4 linked regions of the Sus scrofa genome follow. The protein of the gene in region 3 interacts with the protein of the main gene of each other region in a pairwise test. Links are inferred from orthologs where the notes say so. Each region holds a gene or a part of one and is shown on either strand. Other genes may lie near its edges.

The links.
Region 1: the proteins of SF3A3 (region 3) and ZNF212 interact in binary tests that used the Homo sapiens proteins (3 or more experiments, as listed by UniProt). The two-hybrid records come from large-scale screens. The link is inferred for Sus scrofa from reciprocal best matches to the Homo sapiens genes SF3A3 and ZNF212.
Region 2: the proteins of SF3A3 (region 3) and TADA2A interact in binary tests that used the Homo sapiens proteins (3 or more experiments, as listed by UniProt). The two-hybrid records come from large-scale screens. The link is inferred for Sus scrofa from reciprocal best matches to the Homo sapiens genes SF3A3 and TADA2A.
Region 4: the proteins of SF3A3 (region 3) and TRIM69 interact in binary tests that used the Homo sapiens proteins (3 or more experiments, as listed by UniProt). The two-hybrid records come from large-scale screens. The link is inferred for Sus scrofa from reciprocal best matches to the Homo sapiens genes SF3A3 and TRIM69.

What each region holds. Positions count from the first base shown.
Region 1 is NC_010460.4:55,525,623-55,531,495, reverse strand, and holds the start of ZNF212 (zinc finger protein 212), read right to left. Parts: upstream 3,335-5,873; 5' UTR 3,218-3,334; coding exon 3,194-3,217; intron 1-3,193.
Region 2 is NC_010454.4:38,873,377-38,879,194, reverse strand, and holds the start of TADA2A (transcriptional adapter 2-alpha), read right to left. Parts: upstream 4,040-5,818; 5' UTR 3,940-4,039; intron 3,939-3,939; exon of another isoform or gene 3,799-3,938; intron 3,615-3,798; exon of another isoform or gene 3,415-3,614; intron 1,133-3,414; 5' UTR 1,031-1,132; coding exon 1,006-1,030; intron 1-1,005. Other genes in the region: ACACA (acetyl-CoA carboxylase 1), read left to right, coding at 4,624-4,643. UniProt on the Homo sapiens protein: Component of the ATAC complex, a complex with histone acetyltransferase activity on histones H3 and H4. Required for the function of some acidic activation domains, which activate transcription from a distant site. Binds double-stranded DNA.
Region 3 is NC_010448.4:93,955,196-93,960,488, forward strand, and holds part of SF3A3 (splicing factor 3A subunit 3), read right to left. Parts: intron 3,951-5,293; coding exon 3,786-3,950; intron 3,694-3,785; coding exon 3,583-3,693; intron 2,447-3,582; coding exon 2,356-2,446; intron 1-2,355. UniProt on the Homo sapiens protein: Component of the 17S U2 SnRNP complex of the spliceosome, a large ribonucleoprotein complex that removes introns from transcribed pre-mRNAs.
Region 4 is NC_010443.5:126,784,659-126,790,587, forward strand, and holds the start of TRIM69 (E3 ubiquitin-protein ligase TRIM69), read right to left. Parts: upstream 3,971-5,929; 5' UTR 3,969-3,970; coding exon 3,603-3,968; intron 2,529-3,602; coding exon 2,506-2,528; intron 2,424-2,505; coding exon 2,299-2,423; intron 82-2,298; exon of another isoform or gene 1-81.

The sequences.
Region 1 (5,873 bases), on a different chromosome or scaffold from region 3:
CTTTTAGCTGTATCTTTTATAAACCATTTGTTGAGCTTTAACTCATCCTATCCATCTTTGCCTTTTAGCTAGAACATTTAGTCCATTTACACTTATTGTCATCATTTTTACTTATTTTTACCTTTGTGCTGCTTATCCCATATTTCTTACCTTTTTAGATTTTTTATTATTCCCCCTTTTTAAATTGTAAGTTATACAGTCAGTTTCTAGTCTTTTAGCAACCATCCTAGACATATGTATGTAATTATAGACATAAGTATGTAATTACCTAGACATACTTACAAAGATCTTTATCTGAATTCTGACCATCTCTTCCTAACTTTTACATCAATGCTGCCATGTATTTTAATTCTGCCCTTGTCTTTAACCATGTAAGAGATTATTTTGTTCAATTAACATTTGTTTAGATTTACCCATTTTAATAATGAATCATCATACTTTCTTGTATTTGCATTTTCCACTTGAATTTCCTTTTATGAGAGTACATTGGTAACAAATTGTCAGTTTTGTCTGAAAAATCTTTATTTTACTGTTGGTTTCTGAAAGATGCTTTTGCTGAGTATACAAATCTGGGATTACATGGTTATTTTCTTTTAGCCCTTTGAAGATACCATTCTACCGCTGTCTGGTTTCCATTGTTGTTGGGAAGCTGCACCCCATTAGTCTTACAAGGTTCGTCTGAAGGTCATCTTTTTCCTTTGGCTGTTTTTAAGAGTTGTCTTGTATTCTGTACTTTCACCATGTTTCTAGGTAGAGATTTCTTAATGTTTAGCCTGATTAGGATCTTCTGGGCTTCTAAGAATTAGCATCTGCATCAGTCCTACAGTATCTTCAAACATTAGGTATTCATCAAATACGGTCTCCAGTGCAGACTGTGTGTGTGTGTGTGTTCCTACTTGAATTCCAACATGTTTTTCTTCTAGAATAGTAGTATCTGAAATCTCTGGAGGTCTACTTTTATTTCCCATTAATTTTACCAGCTTTCTCTTGTAGTTTCTCATTGCTTGGTAATTTTTTATTGTGAACTTGTTTGTCTTGGAATTTTATCTATGGAGTTATTTGAAGTCTGAGTTAACTGTAGATTCCTGCAGAGAAGATGTGTATTTATATCTGAAAGATAGCTGGAGACAAACTAAACTCTTGGCTTAAGGTTTTTTCCCAGACACCCAGGTTGTATGACTTCAGGCACTAAACCCACTTGAGAGTCATCATGAATTCTCAAGGGCTACCGTGCACCCAGCTCTCAACACCAAGGTTTGAGGGGATTTTCTCTGCAATTGCCGGGGTAGGAGCTTACTTCCAGTTCACCCTGAATGTTGCCCTTTGGAGTCTCGGCTTTATAGGATTGGTGTAGGAGGCATTTTAGACTCCCACCTTAGGCTCCGAGTTTTGTCTTCTATTTTCCAGACCTCTTGAGTTCATAAACACTACAGATGAATGTTCAGCAAATCCCCTCAAAGTTGGCTTCAGAACTCTGTTTACCTCTCAGGAGTTCCCTCTTTCACTTAGTCTTTGGGCTCCAAGTATTCTTTACCAGATGCATTTCAAATACATTGGTGTTTTTTCACCTCAGTATTTTTAGGTGTTTTCATCCAGGCACCTACTTGGCCATACTTCAAATAAGAGGTACAGCATCCTCATCTGAAGATAAGGATGGAAATATGTTCACAGGCAATTTAAATACGTTCCGCAATGACAGATCAATAAATTACTTAAAGTGGAGTTGGGGATTTGGAGGCTCTTTAAGATGTCCTTTTAACAAGGTCTGTTGAAGACACGTAGGTAACTGCACTGACCGGTCAGGAAGAAGTCCTCTGGAAGTTAGTAACGTGTCCTCCTGCCCAACTTTAGGACGACTCATTTGGTCTTGAGGAAAAGGCAAGTCCCTGACTGGATCACCTTAGGTTAAGGGAGTCAGATGAGGTAAATACTGTGGTATTGTTGACATCTGTCTTGTCTTCAAAATTCAACTGTAACTTCTTTAAAAGCAAACACCTGTTCTTTAAGTCTTACAATCCTTCCACTCTTAGGTCTTACCCACTTCCTATAAGAAATCAAGTGCAGGCACTCCAGCATCGCTTAGCCCTCAATGCTCACAAAGATCTCACAGGATTCCGAAGGTATTTCTGGATGAAGAAATGCCGGAGTTCCCGCCGGTGGCTCAGCAAAAACAAACCAGACTAGCATCTGTGACAACGCGGGTTCCATCCCTGGCCTCCCTCAGTGGGTTGGGGATCCAGCATTGCCATGAGCTGTGGTGTAGGCCACACCCCTACACCCCTAGCTCGCTTGGGAACTTCCATGTGCTGTGGGTGCGGCCCTAAAAAAGCCCCCCCCCCCAAAAAAAAGCCAAAAAAACCAAAAAACAATTAAACTCCATCTGCCCTTTCCATAGCAAATCCTCTAGTATCATCAAAGAAACCAACACTCGGGAGTAATGAGAGTCGGAGGCAGTTGGAACCTTAGAGATCATCTAGTAACTAGCCCAACGTGGAGGTCCGGCGCCAACACTGTTGCCTAAAGTTACTCAACTAGATAGCGGAGAACTGACTGACGCTGAAATCCAGTTTCCCGACTCCAGGCCCAAGCCCGCCCCGCAGTCTTGCCATTCCCGGAAGGGTGATGTCTGGGGGAGGGGAAGAGGGGGAAAGATCGACAGCTTCAAAACAAAACCCAGCAACTACACCGTGAGGTAACCCTGTCCCCAAGGAGAGGCAGGCCAGCCTGACTTCAACCCAGGACAGAAATCTGTAGCCGGAGGCACGGCAGAAGGCATGAGGAAACCCATCAGGCAGAGAACAAGCTGGTCTGAGAGCCTGAGCCCTGGGGTGCCCGGGCACGGGCCAGCTCGCCAGCGCTGCTGGGGACCCAGGGTTTCCAACCCGCGCCACCTCGCCAGGGCGCGACGAAAACGTGTCGGGACGGTCGCAAATGCAAGAACATGAAACAAGCCTCCGAGAAGTTTCTCGGCGAAGGCGCGTGGCGCGGAGGCTCTAGCCCGACGTGGAAGGAGCCGACGGGGGTAGAGCCCAGCGCTGGGGCCGCGGGGGGTGGGGGGCAGGTCGGCGTTGGCCTCGCCGGCAGCAGCCCGTGGACGCCCAGCCCCTCCCCGGTCCGCACCTCGAAGCCCCGCCCCGGTCGGGGCGCCACCATCCCGAACGCGCCCCCGGGCGGGCGCCGGGAGGACGCTTACCCGAGCGGGCGCCGACTCCGCCATGGCTGCCAGTCGCCCTTCCACACCCGCCCCGCCTGATACGCCCCGGGCTGCGCGAGGGTCCGCTGGGCGCCCCTGGCCCCTCCTCGAAGCCGCCCCCAGCGCTGTGTTGATACAAGGTGCATTGTGGGAATGCGGCCCTCCGGGGCCAAGACGGGCGCCGGCCGCGGATCCTCACCGTGCGGGAGTCCCCTTGCGCCCCCGTGCGGCAGGAGGGTGAACAGCCGCTGGGAGCTCGGCCGGAGCGGGACGGGACTTGGTCCTTCCAAGCCGAGGGCAGGCTCGGAATTTACCGCGTGCCCAGCGCTTCTGCGTGCCCAGCACTCTGGTAGGGCTTTGAGGGATTCAAAACTGTATAAACTCAGACTGTGCCCAGAGGGAAGAACGTGTACTCTAGTTGGGGAAAAGAGATACAGTCCCAGACGGCAAGCGGTGTTATTCCGAAAGTACACTTTTTTCTTTTTGTCTTTTTGCTAGTTCTTGGGCCGCTCCCTCGGCATAGGGAGGTTCCCAGACGAGGGGTCTAATCGGAGCTGTAGCCGCCAGCCTACGCCAGAGCCACAGCAAAGCGGGATCCGAGCCGCGTCTGCGGCCTACACCCCAGCTCACGACAACACCGGATCCTTAACCCACTGAACAAGGCCAGGGATCGAACCTGCAACCTCATGGTTCCTAGTCGGATTTGTTAACCCCTGCGCCACGACGGTAACTCCCCGAAAGTACACATGTTACTTCGCTTTTTGGAAATTAGAAATAGGGAGTTCCCGTGGTGGCTCAGGGGTTAATGAATCCGACTAGGAGCCATGAGGTTGCGGGTTCGATCCCTGGCCTTGCTCAGTGGGTTAAGGATCTGGCGTTGCCGTGAGCTGTGGTGTAGGTTGCAGACGCGGCTCGGATCCCGCTTTGCTGTGGCTCTGGCGTAGGCCGGTGGCTACAGCTCTGATTCGACCCCTAGCCTGGGAACCTCCATATGCCTCGGGGGCAGCCCCAGAAACGGCAAAAAGACAAAAAGAAAGAAAGAAATTAGAAATACGCTTCTCACATCAACGTGGGTTAGGTGCCCAGGCCAATCCACTGAAGCCTATCAGTTATAATAATCACATGCCTTGGAAAATGCAATTTTAGATAAAGTCTAAGTCCTGATTTCATATCCAGCCCGCACGCTGCATGTTAAACCATGCATTCAGAGTTTTGGATTGAAAAAGCATGGTTCGTGTGTTTGATAATGTGAGAAAAAAGAATGTATACATGTATGTGTAACTGGGTCACCTTGCTGTACAGTAGAAAATTGACAGAACACGGTAAACCAGCTATAATGGAAAAAATAAAAATCATTACAAAAATAAAATAGCAAACAAACAAAAAAACCCATGGTTGCAGAGTTCCCATCATGGCTCAGCAGTAAGGAACCTGACTAATAACCATGAGGGCGCAGGTTAGATCCCTGGCCTTGCTTGGTGGGTTAAGGCTCCAGCGTTGTCATGAGCTGTGGTGTTGGCTGCAGACACTGCTAAGGTCCTGTGTTGCTGTGGCTGCGTTGCAGGCTGGTGGCTGCAGCTCCAACTTCACCCCCAGTCTGGGCACTTCCATATGCCTGCCCCAGGTGCAGCCCTAAAAGACAAAAAAAAAAAAAAAAAAAAAGCCTGGTTGCTTTACCATTGGCGTATCCAACACTAATGCAACCATAATTACCGAATTCGTGCCACACCGTCTCAGTATCATCCACTCTGAATGATAGGTATGAATAAAACTCTTAAGAACAACAGAAAAATGATGATCAAATGACTGGCTCCTTCTTAGCAGGAGGGCTCAGTTCAGATTTACCTCCTGCTCCCAGAGTCATCCCCGTCCACCCTGTCTGCATATAGCCCAACCCCCCTCCATCCCAACAGTCAGTCTGCTCACCTTGCTCAAAGTTTTTCGTAGCATTTATCACTGTCTGAAATAACCTCTTCTTTTTATTAGTCTACATAGTAAATTTTGTAAGCTTTTCTTTCACTGAAGTATCCTCCATTCCTTGCACACAGAAATGCTCATAAATGTGTTTGGACGATTGAATGGTGAATCAGGAAGTAAGGACAGGAGTCCAACTGTGGCTCAGTGGGTTAAGAACGCGACATAGTGTCTGTGAGGATGCAGGTTCGATCCCTGGCCTCAATTAAGCGGGTTAAGGATCCGGCCTTGCCGCAAGCTGCGGCGTAGGTTTCTCAGCTGAGGCTCCAACCTGGTCTTGCTGCGGCTGTGGCACAGGCCTCAGCTGCAGCTCCAGCTCCACTCCTCGCCCGGGAGTAGAATTCATGCTCTCTGTTCTGTCTCTGTGTTCACCAGGCTGCCTTCTGAGGACGCAGGTTCCTGTGTAGCTACTGGGAGACAACCTACAGATCATGGCAACGCCAATGTCCAGACCACCCGTGGAAGTTATTCACCTGATTCTCGGCCTACCCATCCGTCCCCGAGAGTCAGCAGGACTCAGCATCCCCGCCTGGAACTCTGGGAGAAATATTTAGATCAAATCCCAACGTCAAGGGCAGCGGCATGGGGCACTGGTTTGCAGTTTCTCGGGCTCACAGAGACGGTGCCGTGATGGGGAAGGTGGGGCTGAGGAGTGAGAAAATCCGGGTCCGGAGCCCAGCGCTACTGCCCCTTTCTCGGCATGGAC
Region 2 (5,818 bases), on a different chromosome or scaffold from region 3:
ATTCATTTAGGTTCTTTTTCCAGGTGTAAAATGAGAGATCTGAACCAGATGTATTTGAAGACTCCATTCTGTCCTAAATTTATATAGGGAGTGTGGTGAGATAAGTTAGAGCTCATTTAAGAAACTGTTGATGGGGAGTTCCCGTAGTGGTGCAGTGGTTAACGAATCCGACTAGGAACCATGAGGTTGCGGGTTCGGTCCCTGCCCTTGCTCAGTGGGTTAACGATCCGGCGTTGCCGTGAGCTGTGGTGTAGGTTGCAGACGCGGCTCGGATCCCGAGTTGCTGTGGCTCTGGCGTAGGCCAGTGACTACGGCTCCGATTCGACCCCTAGCCTGGGAACCTCCACATGCCGCGGGAGTGGCCCAAGAAATAGCAAAAAGACAAAAAAAAAGAAGAAAAAAAAAATTTTTGCTAAGCAAATTATGTTGAAGAGGATACGCCCCCAAACGCGTTTTTCTGAGTCTTCTCATTAGGACACTATTAACATCTAATAATGGATTTCTACTTCTGCCAAATCCCTTATCTTCAGAGTAAAAGAAAAAGCTTATTTTTTTCCTCCATAGTTGTGGGTGCCTGGATTTATTTTACATGTATGTCACACATTTCTGCATCACTACTATACTATACGGTTTACTCTTAGAATACAAGTACCAAAAAAGCAGGGCTGGGAGCATTTCCTTTATCACTGATAGTATTTCCTACCAAAGCACCTGAAGTGTGTTATTAGTTCTAAAAAGAAATCAAACTACTTTGGTAGAATTCTAATTACAAGTTAATCATACTATGCCTGGAACACCTGAACTTAGTTTTCATATAAGACCTAGGGTGATATGCTGTGTCATGTGTAGTACTGGTTATTTTATCTTGAGTTGATACTCTTGGGCCTTTAGGATTAGATTCAAGTGGCTTTGTTTAACTGCAAAGTACTTATTTTTCTTCTCTGATCAACTTCCACTTCAGTTTGCTATTAATATTCACCTGGGACTTGTTCCCACAGTACTTACTGCTAAAGGAACCCAAACGGTCCATCCCGCAGTTGGCAAGCTGGCTGCTTTGATCTTCCTCAATGTAGGGCTCCCTCAAGGAGATTTTAGAAATGGCCAACACATCCACCAAAGCTTGACGACCCTCCTACGAACAAACAAAAGCAGCACATGGAAGAGGAAATCACTTAAAAGGACAAGAGAAGACAATATAACTTACTCAACTCTACCACATCCTAGCTTTGTATGCTAAGCAAATTATTTTATCTCTATAAGCTTGTTTCCTCCTCTGGAAATGAATATGATACAATCATATCTACTTCCTAGAGTTGTGAGGATTAAAATAATCAATATCCACATAAATAATATACCATGGCACCTGGCCCATGATAAGCCCTCTACAAAGGCTATATATTTCTAATAGGCAACAACTGGTTCTCTCTGTGCAGCATCACTTCTCTCCTCAGCCCTCCTTCCTTAGGGAAGGAAAGTGACTCTCCCACATTTCACACGGCTTTGGGGGAGTAGGTTGTTGCAAATCATAACACTCCGTCCCCCACCCCCATAGCAGCTAAAGCAACTAAAACTCTTCTTACAGAACCTGAATCTTGTAAGATATACAAGGACAGAGGGCAGTTAGAGCTCAGTCATTCACTAGCCAAAGAATCTGGTTCATGAGCTCTGGTTGTTGAGATACTCATTCCCAAAAATGGCACAAATTTTTTTTTTTTTCCATTTCTCTATCTTTTCAAAAATACTTTAATACGAATGAACTTTTATCACTAGAAAACTAAAAAACCATGGAGTTCCCGTCGTGGCGCAGTGGTTAACGAATCCGACTAGGAACCATGAGGCTGCGGGTTCGGTCCCTGCCCTTGCCCAGTGAGTTGTGGTGTAGGTTGCAGATGCGGCTCGGATCCTGAGTTGCTGTGGCTCTGGTGTAGGCCGGTGGCTACAGCTCCGATTCAACCCCTAGCCTGGGAACCTCCATATGCTTCGGGAGCGGCCCAAGAAATAGCAACAACAACAACAAACTAAAAAAACCCTATCTATTATGACAAATTTTGTTCACTAATTTATTCTTTGAACAAATATTTAACAGTTAAGTACCATGTACAAAGTATCTTTATTAAGACATAAATGAACTCATATTTCACACTAAGCCAATATCACCTTCTATACTCCCATAGCTTTTTTTTCCTTTTGCAGCCACACTCTCAGGATATGCAAGTTCCCAGGGCTAGGAATCAAACCCAAGCTGCATCTGAGACCTACGACTCAGCTTCGGAATGTCAGATCCTTAACCCATTGCACCACTGTGGGAACTCCTCCCATAGCTTTTTTTTTTTTTTTTTTTTTTTAATTTAGGGCTGCACCTGAAGCACATGGAGGGTCCCAGGCGAAGGACAGAATCAGAGCTGCAGCTGCCAGCCTATGCCACAGCAACGTGGGATTCCAGCCATGTCTGTGACCTACACCATTACTCAAGGGCAATGCCTAAACCCACTGAATGAGACCAGGGATTGAACCCACAACCTCATAGATACTAGTCGGGTTCTTTACCACTTAGCCCCGATGGGAACTCCTCCCCATAGCTTTTTATCTATCCCTTCTCCGGCATTTTTCACACTGCTCTGTGAAGATTACTTATGGATGCATATTTTTCCCATTTCTAGCCTAAATGAAAACAGGAACTACATCAAATACAAATTTGTATGTCTTAAAGTACCATACACAATGCCACACAGAAAGAACTCAATAAACAAAAATGTAATGGACAAATAAATGCTAATTCTACAAAAAAGTTAATTCATCCTTAGTTTTCCTGCAGTGACTTCTTTCACTGGATAGTTTTGGCTTGGAGAATAATTTATCATTAAGAATATACAACACTGTCAATGAACTTGTCTTTTTTAGGGTAGGTTGGGGTGGTTCTCCCTCTGGTCTAGCCCCAGGAAAATGAGTCTGAAGAAAAGTGAGTTTAGTAAGTGGTATCATGCACTTAATAATAAAATAATGGCCAAAACTTATTGAACTTTTCTCATATACCAGGTACTGTGGTACCACTGTATGTGGATCATCTCTGAATCCTTACAACCTTCAGAGACATGTTGCTTTTTCAAGGAGGGAAAGGAAATGCTAAAAGATTGTGTTACTGGCACAATGTCCTAGACGTAGTGAATAGCAATGTCACTTCAGAGGTCAACTAGAGATAGTCAAGTAAGGAACTTTATATAAAGTCTCGTGAACACTCCACGTTGTAAGTGCAATACTGCAATAAGCAGAATCTTTTTTTTCCCCGTCTTTTTTTCACACAGGAGACATTTCTGACGCTAATACCCACGAAAGGCTGGGTGCTAGCTCCAAATTAACATCTGCTTTGTTCAAAGAAATTACTGGGAGGAGGGAAGGGACGTGAAGATTACTCACTCACTGCAGTTCAGAGGACAGGGGCAGGCTTGGAGTTTTGCAAACAAGATTCGAAGCCTCATTTTGTTCCTTATTAACTGTGATCTTGGGCAAGTCATTTTACTGGAGGCTCAGACAAGCACAGCTCTAAAATGAACCTGAAATATCTATTTGGAAGGCCTACTTGAGAACAACAGGTAACATCAACCATACGCTGTCGTGAGCCGCATTACGCCCTCCAACGCAAAGTCAGGAAAGCGGAGGCCGGAACCCAGCAGGACCGCCCAGGGGGCGGGAGTCGCCAGGCTCGCGGCGGGGCGGGGCACCAGGGCTCGGGCCGGGCACGCGCCGCCCTCCCCCACCGCACGGCGTGGCCCCCGCCTCGCGCCAGTCGGGCCGACTCACCCTCTCGCCCCCGACGCCGCTGGGGTCCGCAGCCCTCCCCCACCCTCGGGGAACCTCGAGGACGCCTTCTCCCCCTCGTCCCGCGAGAGGGGTTCGCGCCGCACCACGCCACCACCCGTGCCGCAGCGCCTCGTGCCTCACCTCGCCGCGTCCCCCTCTTCCGCGCCGAGGAAACGCCAGCCGTGCGCGCGCCCGGGCTTTTGCGTGCTCGCTCCCGAGCGGCGCAGGCGCGAGCGGGCCGCGCGCTCGCCGCCTCCGCCCAGGCGCCGCCCCAGCCGTCGCGGCCCCGCCGCGTGGCGCGCGCTCGCCGCCTCCCCTCTCTCAGCTCCAGCCCCTGACCTCGCCGAGAGCTCGCCGCCCGCCTCCAGCAGAGGCCTGGGAGGATGGGGCTCTGAGCAGTTTGCCAGACTTTTGAGTCGGACCAGTAATCACTTTTCCCTCGGGGCGCGTTGCTCGTCGCCGCAGACTTGCGGATGCGTGCTGCCGTTTGACCCCTCCAGAGTGCGGTGAGCTGGAGCGGGCCGGTACAGCCCCGCTTTTGCGTTTTGTAACATTCCTGCCACCCCTGTTGCAGCCTCAAAGGAAATGGAGGCTGAGGGACTGGGCCCAAGGACGGCGAGTGGTGGTCCCCCCTCGAGGCCGGGTCTTGCAGTGCTACTCATGGATTAACCAGACTGCCTGAATGGTTCAAGGGTACATGGGGTACGTTTGATTCAGATGCTTCTGGAACGTCGAAATTATCTTCTTTGGAAAAACCATCCTCTCTTTGGGCTTTAGGTGCCCAAATTGAGGCGCGATGATGAGAGGATGTGGTGGTCCACTCTGATGTCAGTCTTGAGGGCTAGGTATGTCCCAACATCTCTTGTTACTACTGCTAATTATTATTATTATGATAGCTGCCATTTGTCGAGTATTTATTGCATGCCAGGCATTGTACAAAGGAGTTTACATACATGGTCTCATTTAATCTTCAAAAATAACCTTATGGAAAAGACACTTGTAATATTATCATCCCCATTTTCCAGGTGAAGACCTTTAGACTCTACCTTGTAAATAACTTGGGTTCACACAGCTAGATGGTGTTGGGGAAGGGCATTCAAACAGTGGTTTGTCTTAGCCATTATGCTCATGCATCTATTTAGAAGTCTTTCTTCCATCAATTTGCCCAACCTCTTAGAGAAATCATTTACACCTGCCTGTGTGGCCTTTTTATTCATTTCTTAGTCATACAAGTTCGTTCTAAAAAAAAAAGAATATTTGCATGAACAAAAAATGAAAACCAGCTCCTACCATGTTAAATGGTTACCATTTTGCCTTACATTCTTCTAGATATTTTTCTATACTTCATTCAAAAAATATAAAGTAGTTTTACATTTGATATACCCTGGAAATCTATTTTCATTTATCAAATTTTTAATGAGTAGATACCAGTTCTAGGTGCTGGGAATTCGGTGAACAAAACAAAGTTTCTGCCTCATCGTGGAGGAGGTAGACAATAAGCAATATTTAGACAATAAGCAATACACATAGTATATAATAGATAATGCCCAGTAATGTGGCAATTTTTATGGAAAAAAAATCAGGATAAAGGGATAAGAGTGATGTGGGGACACTCTGTTGGATGCAGTAGACAAGGAAGTCCTCTTAATCATAAGCAGAAATCTAATCATTAAATGGGGGAGGCAGCTGTGTGAATTTCTAGAGGGGGAAATTGTTCCAGGAGAAGAGAAAGGCAATTAAAATAGCCCTGAGATGGGTCTTGCTGGGCATGTTGGAGAAGGATCAAGGAGACCAGTGTGGCTGGAGCAAATTAGAGAAACAAGTTGGGAAACATAGGCAGAAGCCAGATCATGTACCTGGTAAGCTGTGCTGGACTTGGGATGTTATTAGAATGTGATAGTGTACCATGGAAAGGTTGATGACAAAGGAATAATCAGACTTGTTTTAAAAGGATCAACTCTGGCAGTTGTGTGCAGACTAGATGGTGGAAACATTAAAATTGCTCTTTAACATATAAATT
Region 3 (5,293 bases):
GAGCAAGGCCAGGGATCAAATCCACAACCTTATGGTTCCTAGTCAGATTCGTTAACCACTTCGCCACGACGGGAACTCCCTGGACCTGAGTCCAGGATTATTACCTGCTTCTATTTAACATAAGACTTGGGGATAATGCTTGGGCGAACTATCCCTGAAGAAAAATAAGTCCATGGAACAAAATAAACTGAAACATTATCTTGGTAGTTGGCATAATCGTAAGCCTAAAATAGTGTAACTATATCAATTTCAAGGTATCAGAAGTAATAAAGTGGAGTTCCCATTGTGGCTCAGAGGAAACAAGTCTAACTAGCATCCATGAGGATGCAAGTTCTATCCCTGGCCTCACTCAGTGGGTTAACGATCCAGCATTGCTGTGAGCTCTGGTGTGGGTCGCAGACATGGCTGGGATCTGTGTTGCTGTGGCATAGGCCAGTGGCTACAGCTGTGATTTGACTCCTAGCCTGGGCACCATCACATGCCATGGGTTCAGCCCTAAAAAGACCAAAATAAAAAAGAAGTAAAAGTAACAGACAATTTGCAGGACATAAGAAAATACACACAAAAATGAACTAATTAGTAATATGCAGCTAGAAAATATATTTAAAAATGAGATTACATTCAAAATGCAGCATTGTCATTCTATGAAATTTCATTACTATTGTTGGGCAGGGGGTGTTGAACAACCAGAGAACTCTCATTACCATCTTAAATTTTTTTTTTTTTTTTTTTGTATTTTTAGGGCCATACCTGCACATACTGTGAGAGTTCCCAGGCTAGAGGTCGAATCAGAGCTGCAGCTGCCAACTACAACACAGCCACAGCTACGCCAGATCCGAGCCGCATCTGCAACCTACACCGCAGCTCACAGCCAACACCAGATCCTTAACCCACTGAGCGAGGCCAGGGATTGCAACCACATCCTCATGGATGATAGCTGGGTTCATTGCTGCTGAGCCACGAAGGAAACTCCTAATATTTAAATTTTATCCCAACAAAATGAAGGGCAAAAACTGAAGAAGCTAATTGGATAATCTGATGACAAGATGCATTATAATCCTGACTGGCAGAACTGTAGGATCCTGACTTGCAAATGAATAAGAAAAGACAAAACAGCAAGGAGTTCCTAAAGCTGACTGCACCCACACACAAAAGCAATGAAAAAGTCCCCAGGATCCAAAGATTAAGTCAGGGATCAGGGAGCTCTTTAGAAGGTCATTTCTATTTAGCTCTGCCCTGGATGATTTCAACAACCTTAGAGTTGGGAGCCAAAGAAGTTAGTTGACCAAGTAGCCAAGTAGTGTGATAAATACATCTGGGAGGGAGAGCCTGAAATTTAATAAAGTGGAGTGGTAAAATCCTTTTCTTCACAGTCTAACTCATTGAAAGTGAAAATATGACAGAGAAGAGAAGAACCAGAAAGGAAACAAGAAGCCTGAGAAGAAGAGGCTAATGGCAGAAAAAGCTACCATGGCCAGGTAAACAGGAAGCCTGACTCGCACTTGAAAATTCCCGGACACGTGCGGCACTTGGCTTTTTCTCTAAGAGGTATTTTGCTGCCATGTTGCTGTGTACCTGTCCTGTCAGCTCAGAAATAAGCTTGCTGGAGTTCCCGTCCATGGCGCAGTGGTTAACGAATCCGACTAGGAACCATGAGGTTGCAGGTTCGGTCCCTGCCCTTGCTCAGTGGGTTAACGATCCGGCGTTGCCGTGAGCTGTGGTGTAGGTTGCAGACGCGGCTCGGATCCCGCGTTGCTGTGGCTCTGGCGTAGGCCGGTGGCTACAGCTCTGATTCAACCCCTAGCCTGGGAACCTCCATATGCCGCGGGAGCGGCCCAAGAAATAGCAACAACAACAAAAAAGACAAAAAAAAAAAAAAAAGAAAAAAAGAAAAAAGAAATAAGCTTGCTGAGACCATTTTAATTTTTTCCTTCATATCTGTAGTTTTTTGTTTCTGCTGGCTTTTCAGCCATACCTATGGTATAACATGAGCCAGGGATTGAATCCCAGCTGCATCTGTGACCTACACCACAGCTGCAACAGCTGTGCCACAGTGGGAACTCCATGTCTGTAGTTCTTAACACAGTAAAGTCAATTCAGAAAAATATACATACTCATTTACTCAAAATCTTGCATACAGGGGAGTTCACAGAACCCACTTAAAAACCATTTTATCCTCAGCACAGAACACTTCCCAAGGGGGAAACAATCAGTACTGCTGGCTAATTCATCCCCTCAAAATGCAGCTTGTACAATTGGAGTAGTTTGTACACATTCACACCCTGCTGCCCTTAGGCCAGGGTATTGGGACAGTAAACTAGAGGGCTGGCTCAGGGAACAATAAAGCTTACTTACAGGAGACAGCATCTTCAATCTGTGTCACGTTAGCAAAGTGGGCAGTGTTTGGGATGCCCAAACACCTCATGCCATGAGCATGACGCCACTCCTGCGTGAAAAGAAGAGAACAATGTAAAACGGGACTGACTGAACACAGAGTACTAATTCCATTGTGCTCATAAACGCCACCTTGACCCTTTCTAAAAGGCTCCACCTAAAGGCAACGTTCCTTTGTGGTTCCTGACTCTAGACTGCTGCTATGACTGATCAGAGGCAGTTACGTCAAAGCGTTGCATAGTTTGCTTCACTGAGCTGGTTTATAAAACCTAGGCCCTAGATCCAGACAAAACCTCTCTTGGAGACTTTAACTTATCAATAACATCCCATGCAACCCCAGCTACCAACATGCCTGAGTAGCCAACACTGATGGCAGGTCAGTGTTATCTCTGGAAATTAAGGAGAAGATTGTTTATCAGGTATAACCAAGTATATGAAAGAGACCAGGGAGACACTGATACAGGGACAGTTTTGGCTCAGGGACTACAAATGGCATGGGCCCAGGAGACCAATTCCAATTCAATGGAGGTAGTGTTCAGAAAGATTCAGAGATTATTCAGGAGCTTGGCAGGAAAGACCCAGGACAAATTAGTAATATGTACGTCTGAGGGAGAGAGAGGTCATAGAAATTCGCTATCCTAGGCTACATTAAGCAAGCCTTTCATTCTGTAAAACTTCCTTCCAAGTATAAGAATTGAAGGCGGAAACTAAACAAGGGTGAATCCACTTACTGGGGTACCACCTAGATAATGCCTTGTCTCAAGAAGAGCTTGATAAATGTCAATCTCTTCGTTTCTTTTTTTAAAGAGGCAAAGGCCCTTTCAGGACCCAAAGGAGATGGTCAGTCCCTTCTTTGGTCCTGAATACTAACAGCGGGACAGAGAAATGACCAAGGATTCAGAGACACAAAAAGAGAGAACTGAAGAGCGAGCAAGTGCAAAAGGAAATGAGGTTCAGATAGCCAAGTGGTAGAACACCTCCAGAACCATCTCAGGTACAACCCAAGGCTAGCCCTGGTCCCGAGGCCAAATGCCACATGCTGGACATTAGAGCCACTCCTTCGCTGATTCTCTTGCACTCTGGACACCAGTGATCCTCTCAGGCTGCTCCTACCCTCTTCTCTAAAAGACTTCTCTAAAGTATGTTTCATACTTTAACATCCAGGAGAAAAGGCTCTGAATTCCTTACAGCAAAGTGCCGCTGGAAGGCTTTGGGACCCCGGTAGGTGTAGTTTCCACAAATCTCACAGTTATAGTTGATATTCAGGCCATGAAGCTTATACAACCAGTAAGGAATGGGCTAAGAGAAATCAGAGAAGAAGGAGTGTTAGGCTGGTGTCTGCATCTGCTTTCAAAACAGGAAACAAGGAATACGGGAGTGTCTGGACTGACTTTGCCATCCCAGCCAAGGGGCAGGTTCTTGGGGTTGTAAATAATCTCATTCTCTTCATCTTCACTTTCACTCTCGCTGATCTGCTCCTCCTCCTCCTCTTCTCGTTCTTCTCCGGTTCTTGCCTGCTTGCGCTGTACATTTTCATGAGTGAGATGTCGCTGTTCCTAAGTCAGATCCATAAATGAAAAGGGAAGTCAGAGAATAGTGCAGAACAAGAAGGAAAATTTACAAGTTCCCTAGTGGCCTAAGGGTTGGGGATTTGGCGTTGTCACTGCTATGGTGTGGGTTCGATCCCAGGCCTGGGAGCGTTCGCATGCCACAGGTGCAGCCAAAAGGAAAAAGAGGGAGGAAATTTATTTTCCTGCAACTCTTGTTGATCTCTCACTTCCAAGGATCAGATCAGGTTTTCTTTTTTGCAGAACAAAGGGAACTTCTTGCCTTCATGTCAGAACTCATTCCCTGACCATAAAGGAAAAAGTCAAAGGTTTTATGGCATTTGCCTAAGTTACTTATTTGAGGCTACAGACAATCACAGAACAATAGAGAACATAGTCTTTTCTATCTCTAAAGTATTTCCTGAATCTGTTCTTCCTTCTCCTTCTCACTGCTATCACTGTCACCAAGATAACTTCTAACTTGCCCGAATCTCTCCTCATTCCTGTCCAGCTTCCATTTGTTCCCATATTCATCTACTTAAAAAAAAAAAAAAAAAATCTAATGGTACACTTTGCTTAAAGAACTTTCATTTAGTTTTTTGCTTTGCTTGAAGGAAAGGGTCTAGGAGTTCCCATTGTGGCTCAGTGGGTTAAGAACCTGACTAGAATCCATGATTGACGGGTTCACTCCTTGGCCTTGCTCAGTGGGTTAGGGATCCAGCATTGCCATGAGCTGTGGTAGTAGGTTACAGACGTGGCTTGGATCTCGTGTTGCTGTGGCTATGGCGTAGGCGGGTAGCTGCAGCTCCGATTCTACCCCTAGCCTGGGAACTTCCATGTGCTGCAGGGGTCTAAATTTCCAACATAACTTTCCAAATTTTTCTCTGACCACTCCCTCCCTCACATGGTTCCTTAGTGTATGGTAGACATACACAGGATGTATGGTATACCTCATACACACCAAATTTCTCATTATTTCCTTTCATAAGATTTTACATCCATGCCTGCTGTTTCTTCTAGAATATTTCACACCCTCCCCCCACTTTTTTGGTCTTCTTAGGGCCGTACCTGCAGCATATGGAAGTTCCCAGGCTAGGGGTCAAATCAGAGCTGTGGCTGCTGGCCTATACCACAGCCATAGCCACAGCAATGCAGGATCTGAGCCACATCTGCAACCTACACAAAGCTCACAGCAACACCAGATCCTTAACCTACTGAGCAAGGCCAGGGATCAAACCTGTGTCCTCATGGATACTAGTCAGGTCCATTACCTCTGAGTCACAATGGGAACTCCCTCCCTTTTTACAACCACACCTGCAGAATGTGGAAGTTCACAGGCTAGGGGTTGAATC
Region 4 (5,929 bases), on a different chromosome or scaffold from region 3:
CAAGAGCAGCAAAGGCAGTAACGGGTTTGGTCTGCTAGACTTGAAAATGCCACATGGGATAGTTTTTTGGGTTTTTGTTTTTGTTTTTGTTTTTTGTCCTTTTAGGGCCACACCCACAGCATATGGAGGTTCCCAGGCTAGGGGTCAAACTGAAGCTGTAGTTGCTGGCTTATGCCACAGCCACACAATGCAGGATCTGAGCCACATCAGTGACCTACACCACAGCTCACGGCAACACCAAATCCTTAATGCACTGAGTAAGGCCAGGGATTGAATATGCATCCTCATGGATACTAGTCAGATTTGTTTTCTCTGAGCCACAGTGGGAACTCCCACATGGGGTAGATCTTTGACTAGAATGTATACATTGATTTCAGTGTCTACCAAGTGAAAACTTTATTTCCAAACTTTAATTAGCCTTTTTTAATTTAGCCTTTTTTAATTTAAACCCATCATAACTCCTCAAATTTGTTTTGGGAACTTGAATAAAATACTTTCTTTGATGAAAAAATATCAAAAAGATCAAAAAGATCAACAATATCAAGTTTTGGCAAGGATTTGAAAAAACTGGGACTCTCATGGAGGTTAGAATTAAAATGGTACTACACACAACCTAGCAGTCTCCTTACCAGATATTTACTCTAAAGAAATTGAAACACAAAGATTTGTAAACAGGATGGAGTTCCCATCATGGCTCGGTGGAAACGAATCTGACTAGCATCCGTAAGGATGTGGATTCGATCCCTGGCCTAGCTCAGTGGGTTAAGGATCTGGCATTGCCGGGAGCTGTGGTGTAGCCTGGGAACCTCCATATACCATGGATGTGGCCCTAAAAAGACACACACACACACAAATTTGTAAACAGGAGTTCCCGCTGTAGTGCAACAAGATTGACAGTATTGCTGCAGCACCAGAATGCAGGTTTGATCCCAGCCCAGCACAGTGGGTTGGTTAAAGTATCCAGCGTTGCCTGGGTTGCAACTGTGGCTCAGATCTGATTGGCAGCCAAAAAAGAAAAAAAAAAAAAGATCTGTAAACAAATGTTCAGGGAAGTTTATTCATAATAGCTAGAAACTACTCAAATGTCCATCAGTTGAATGAATAAGCAAATTGTATATATCCATAAAATACAGTTATTGATACATACAGCAACACAGGTGAATCTCAAACGCATTTTGCCAAGTGAAAAAAGCCAGACACAAAGGACTACATAAGGTATGGTACCATTACCATTACCTTATGAGATGTTAGAAAAGACAGCTAAAGTGAAATAAAGTAGATCAATGAGTGTCAGGGCCTGAGGTTAGAAGGAAAGGATTGACTGCAAAGAAGTATGCAGGAACTTTGGGGGATGACAGAAATTTTCTATATCTTGATTTTGGAGGTGTTTAGCTAAGTATATACATTTGTCACACTCATCAAGTTGTACATTTTATTCTGTGTTAATTATACCTTAGTGAAACTGATTTGTTTCAATGTCAGTTACCTGGAAAAATTAGCAGGGAGAGATTTGTGATTTTCATTAAATTAGTAACTACAAACAATTACAATAATGAGTCTATATGACTTCCATAAAAACTTCATTTAGAGCTTTACTTCTGTAATTATATTTATTTAAAACTTTATGTTCTTGAAATGTAATTTGTGTTCTTTTGTCCTGCTGTCTTTTGGTATCTACAAAATGACAAAAACTTAGTATTCTTATTAGGCACAGCTGTTGAAATAATTGGCTATCTTTTGAAGCACTTAAGATTTCTAAACAGGAGTTCCTATCATGGCTCAGCAGAAACGAATCTGACTTGCATCCATGAGGATGCAGGTTCAATCCCTGGCCTTGCTTAGTGGGTTAAGGATCCAGCATTGCCGTGAGCTGTGGTATAGGTTGCAGACGTGACTCGGATCCTGCATTGCTGTGGCTGTGGTGTAGGCCAGCAGCTACAGCTCTGATTCGACCCCTAGCATGGGACCCTCCATGTACCATAGGTGTGGCCCTAAAAATTAAAAAAAAAAAATTCTAAATAATCTCCTAAGATGATATACTCTATGTTGTGGACATCAAGCACAAGAGGAACTGAAAAGACCCTATTACATGCAACAAATATATATAGTAACCTCTTATCCAGGAACTTAGATAACTGTTTTTGAAAAGCAGGTTAAAATATTGATTTTTCACATTTGATAGAATAGTGAAACAAAATCATAGGCTGAGAAGTAATTCTGACATCAGACTCTGTTTACAAAGTCATAAATTACATAAACTGGGAGCTCCAGGAACTAACAGCTACTACCCGCTGATACCTGGAGAAAGAGTGGACTGCATTTCCCTCCACATCATGTATTGGATGGGACCTTTGAATAGGCCTAGGTTCAGCTTTCTGGAGATAAGTTCTCTGGGTGTCAGCACCCTCATTCCTTGGTCCAAGCTGCAGGGGACATAAATTATTTATTCTTAGACATCTTCCAGGGACTGAAGGAAGAGTATTAATAGCACAAGAAAACACTTACCTATCCAAGAGAGGCGTGATGTCCTAGAAAAGGAAAGGAGAAATAGAAAGATCAGATGCCTATTCATCAACTCCACACATTTCTTTAGTGATATTGGCTACCACTAGAATTTAATGGTGCAATACTGGGCAGATGGTCCCCATCCCATTGCCACCAACTCCATTCTTCCTCTGTATGCCTTTTCTTTTTCTTTCTTTCTTTCTTTCTTTTTTTTTTTTTTTTTTTGCTTTTTAGGGCAGCACCCACAGCATATGCAAGTTTCCAGGCTAGGGGTCAAATCAGAGCCACAGCTGCCGGCCTACGACACAGCCACAGCAACTCGGGATCCGAGCTGTGTCTGCAACCTACACCACAGCTCACGGAAATGCTGGATCCTTAACCCACTGAGTGAGGCCAGGGATCGAACCCACATCCTCTTGTAGATCCTAGTCAGGTTTGTTAACTGCTGAGCCACAAAGGGAACTCCCCTCTGTATGCCTTTTCTGGTCCATGCCTTTCACTTATTCCCTGATAAACTGGTTTATTTTGCTCTAATTTCACAGGAAAATTAATAAAATTTAGAAATTTTCTAAATTTCTAAGAGAAATTAATATTAAACTATTTTTTACCTATACTGTCACATAGTCTCAGGAGAAAAATGCAACAGGTATTCTAGCCCGAAGGCCACATTTCTTTACTCTGACTAATTAAGCCTCTGAGTGCTTGAGGTGGTAACCAATGCCACTTTAGAGGTGAAGCGTCAGGGAGCAAAGGCTGGCAAACAACTTTTCAGACAAGTCAATTTATGATTGCTGACAGCCAATAAAAGGTACAGCTTAAGTGGCAACATTCTTACTTTTGAGAAATAAAGCTTCACATTCTTTATAGAGAAATATTAAAACATATTGGTTTTAGTAGCATTTCATTATCTTTTGTAGAAGTGTGAAAGTAAGCTTTCAACTGAGAATGAGACAAAAATAGCCTCCTTGCTTTTCTCCCAGGGAATCTTAAAAGCACATCATTTTTTTAAACCCGCCTGGAGGGGAAAATCACTTCTACTTCCTTTTTAACCCTCCCCCCAACACTGTACCCATAGTCATGTTGGTATGGAATCTCACTTTGAGAAAGTCGAAGGAGTTCTGCTGTTCCATGCGTGCCTGGATGCTCACCAACATCTCCTTGGCTAGGAGACACTGTTCCTGAATGTGGCTTAGATTCAGTTCCATCTCCTCATTCAAGGCTTTCCCCTCTTCTCGGAGCTCATTTAAAATGTCCTTTTCTTTGCTGTGCAGGAACTGATGCAGCTTTAGAAACTCCAGGGAGATGTGTTGCTGCAGATGTAGCTTGTTTTCCTGGAAACCTCCATGATCATCACCATGGTAATTACTGATACTAGCACTTAGGGATGGGGGCCCACACCCCCAATACTCACACAACTTGGGAAATACCGTAACAGGAAATAGCATACAAATGGCTGTCAACATTCCACTATACTAAAAGGAGCCCTTTGGGAGACTTACTCTGTCTTTCCCAGCAAGTTTAATAGTTCAGCACAAAATAGTAAAAAGTCATCTCTAGGTTCCTATTGCAGTACAGAGGTGGTAACCAATGCTGTGTTAAATAAGACTGTGGGGTTAATCGAGCATTTTAGAATGATAATGCCCTCCTATACAGAAGTACAAACCAATATCTACCAAGTGATGCTGTTAGACGGGCCCATAAGGAGGCTGGAAGAACTGTCCTTTTCTAGAAATCAGAACTGGGAGAGATGCCATTCCTGCTGTGAGGACAGTATAGAAGCAAGAGGTGGGCAATGTCTGAAGCACTGAAATTGGTAACTGCTACATAGGAAGCTCTTTTCTTAGGTGACCTCAATATCCTCATGGGCAAGCCATCTGACATCCTGGCTTCTCAGTTCCTCATCCCTATTTCTAGTGATTTTTACCTTCGTCTACTCATTCTCTTAATCACACTGAGGATTTTATCATCCCCAGCAATTATAAACCTCCAAAATTTATTTTTTATGCTTATTTACTCAGGAACTCCTACTGCAACAATTATTGGGTGTCAATGAATACTTCCATCCAGTGACCCTCTTCCCCAGCTTATTCTATGGTCAGTCATTATAATTGCACTCTGTTTTGTTTTGTTTTGTTTTTTTGCTTTTTAGAGATGCACCCGCGGTGTATGGAGGTTCCCAGGCTAGGGGCCAAATCAGAGATGTAGCTGCCAGCCTACACCACAGCTCATGGCAACACCAGATCCTTAAGACATGAGTGAGGCCAGGGATCAAACCTGCAACCTCATGGTTCCTAGTCAGATTTGTTTCTGCTACACCACAATGGGAACTCCTAATTGCACTCTTAAACTCTCACTGTCCTCTAGGTCAGACTTTTCCAGTTTTCTTTTTACCTATTTAACTACTGTTTTTCAGTTTTGTTGGTTCTGTCTCTAACCAAGCCCTAAATATTAGATTACTTGATATTCTGTCCTGGGCTGTTTCCCCTTCTCATTCTACATTCTCTATGTAATAGCCTCTCCTCTCACAACTTTAAATACAATCTATACATGGACTTCTTATTTTCAGTCTAGACCAGCTTCTGACCCCCAGATTCCTATATCCAACTGACTGTTTGATATCACCACTTACCTCTTATATCTAATTAATCACCACGTGCGGGTAATTTTTATCTTGGAAGCATACACTGAAGCTATTTATTTCTTGCTATATCTCTTGTTTTTCTAGTCCAAGCCATCATTGTTCTCTGCAGTAGCACTCTTCTAACCATTATCTTTGTTATTGGCTTTCTCTAGCGCATATTCCACACGGCCACCAGACATGCTTTCAAAATGGAGTGGAACCATGTCCTGTTTAAACCCTTTAATGGCTTCTAATTATTCTCAAGATGAAGTTCAAAATTCCTAACATGATCTACACATGATATATTATCTACATGATTAGTCCCATATCTGCCTGATCTTCAGTCTCATCTTGCTTACCATGACCCAGCTTACTTGGCCTTCTCTCTGTTTAACATAGCAGCTAACTTCCTGTCTCAGGACTTTTCCATATGCTCTTTCCTCTTCATAGAACTTTCTGGCCAAAACCTTCATATTCCCCTCACCCTGTTCACTAGACTAAGGAAAATATTTATCCTTTTAATTCTCAATTTTTAATAAGTAGCTTCTTCAGAGAACACTCAGTATAGGTTAGGTTCTCCATTTATATGCTCTCATACTATATTTTCATTTGTAGTAGTTATCACAGTTGTTATTTTATTGTTATTGTAGGATTAATTAACATCTATCTCCCACCATAGTAGGAATATAGTGTCTTGTATGCGTGACCCACTCAATAAATATTTGTTGAATGAATAAATGTTGACTGTAATGGCTGAACTAGGAACTCTTACAAATAGGAACAAGATTTTCTTGAGACATCATT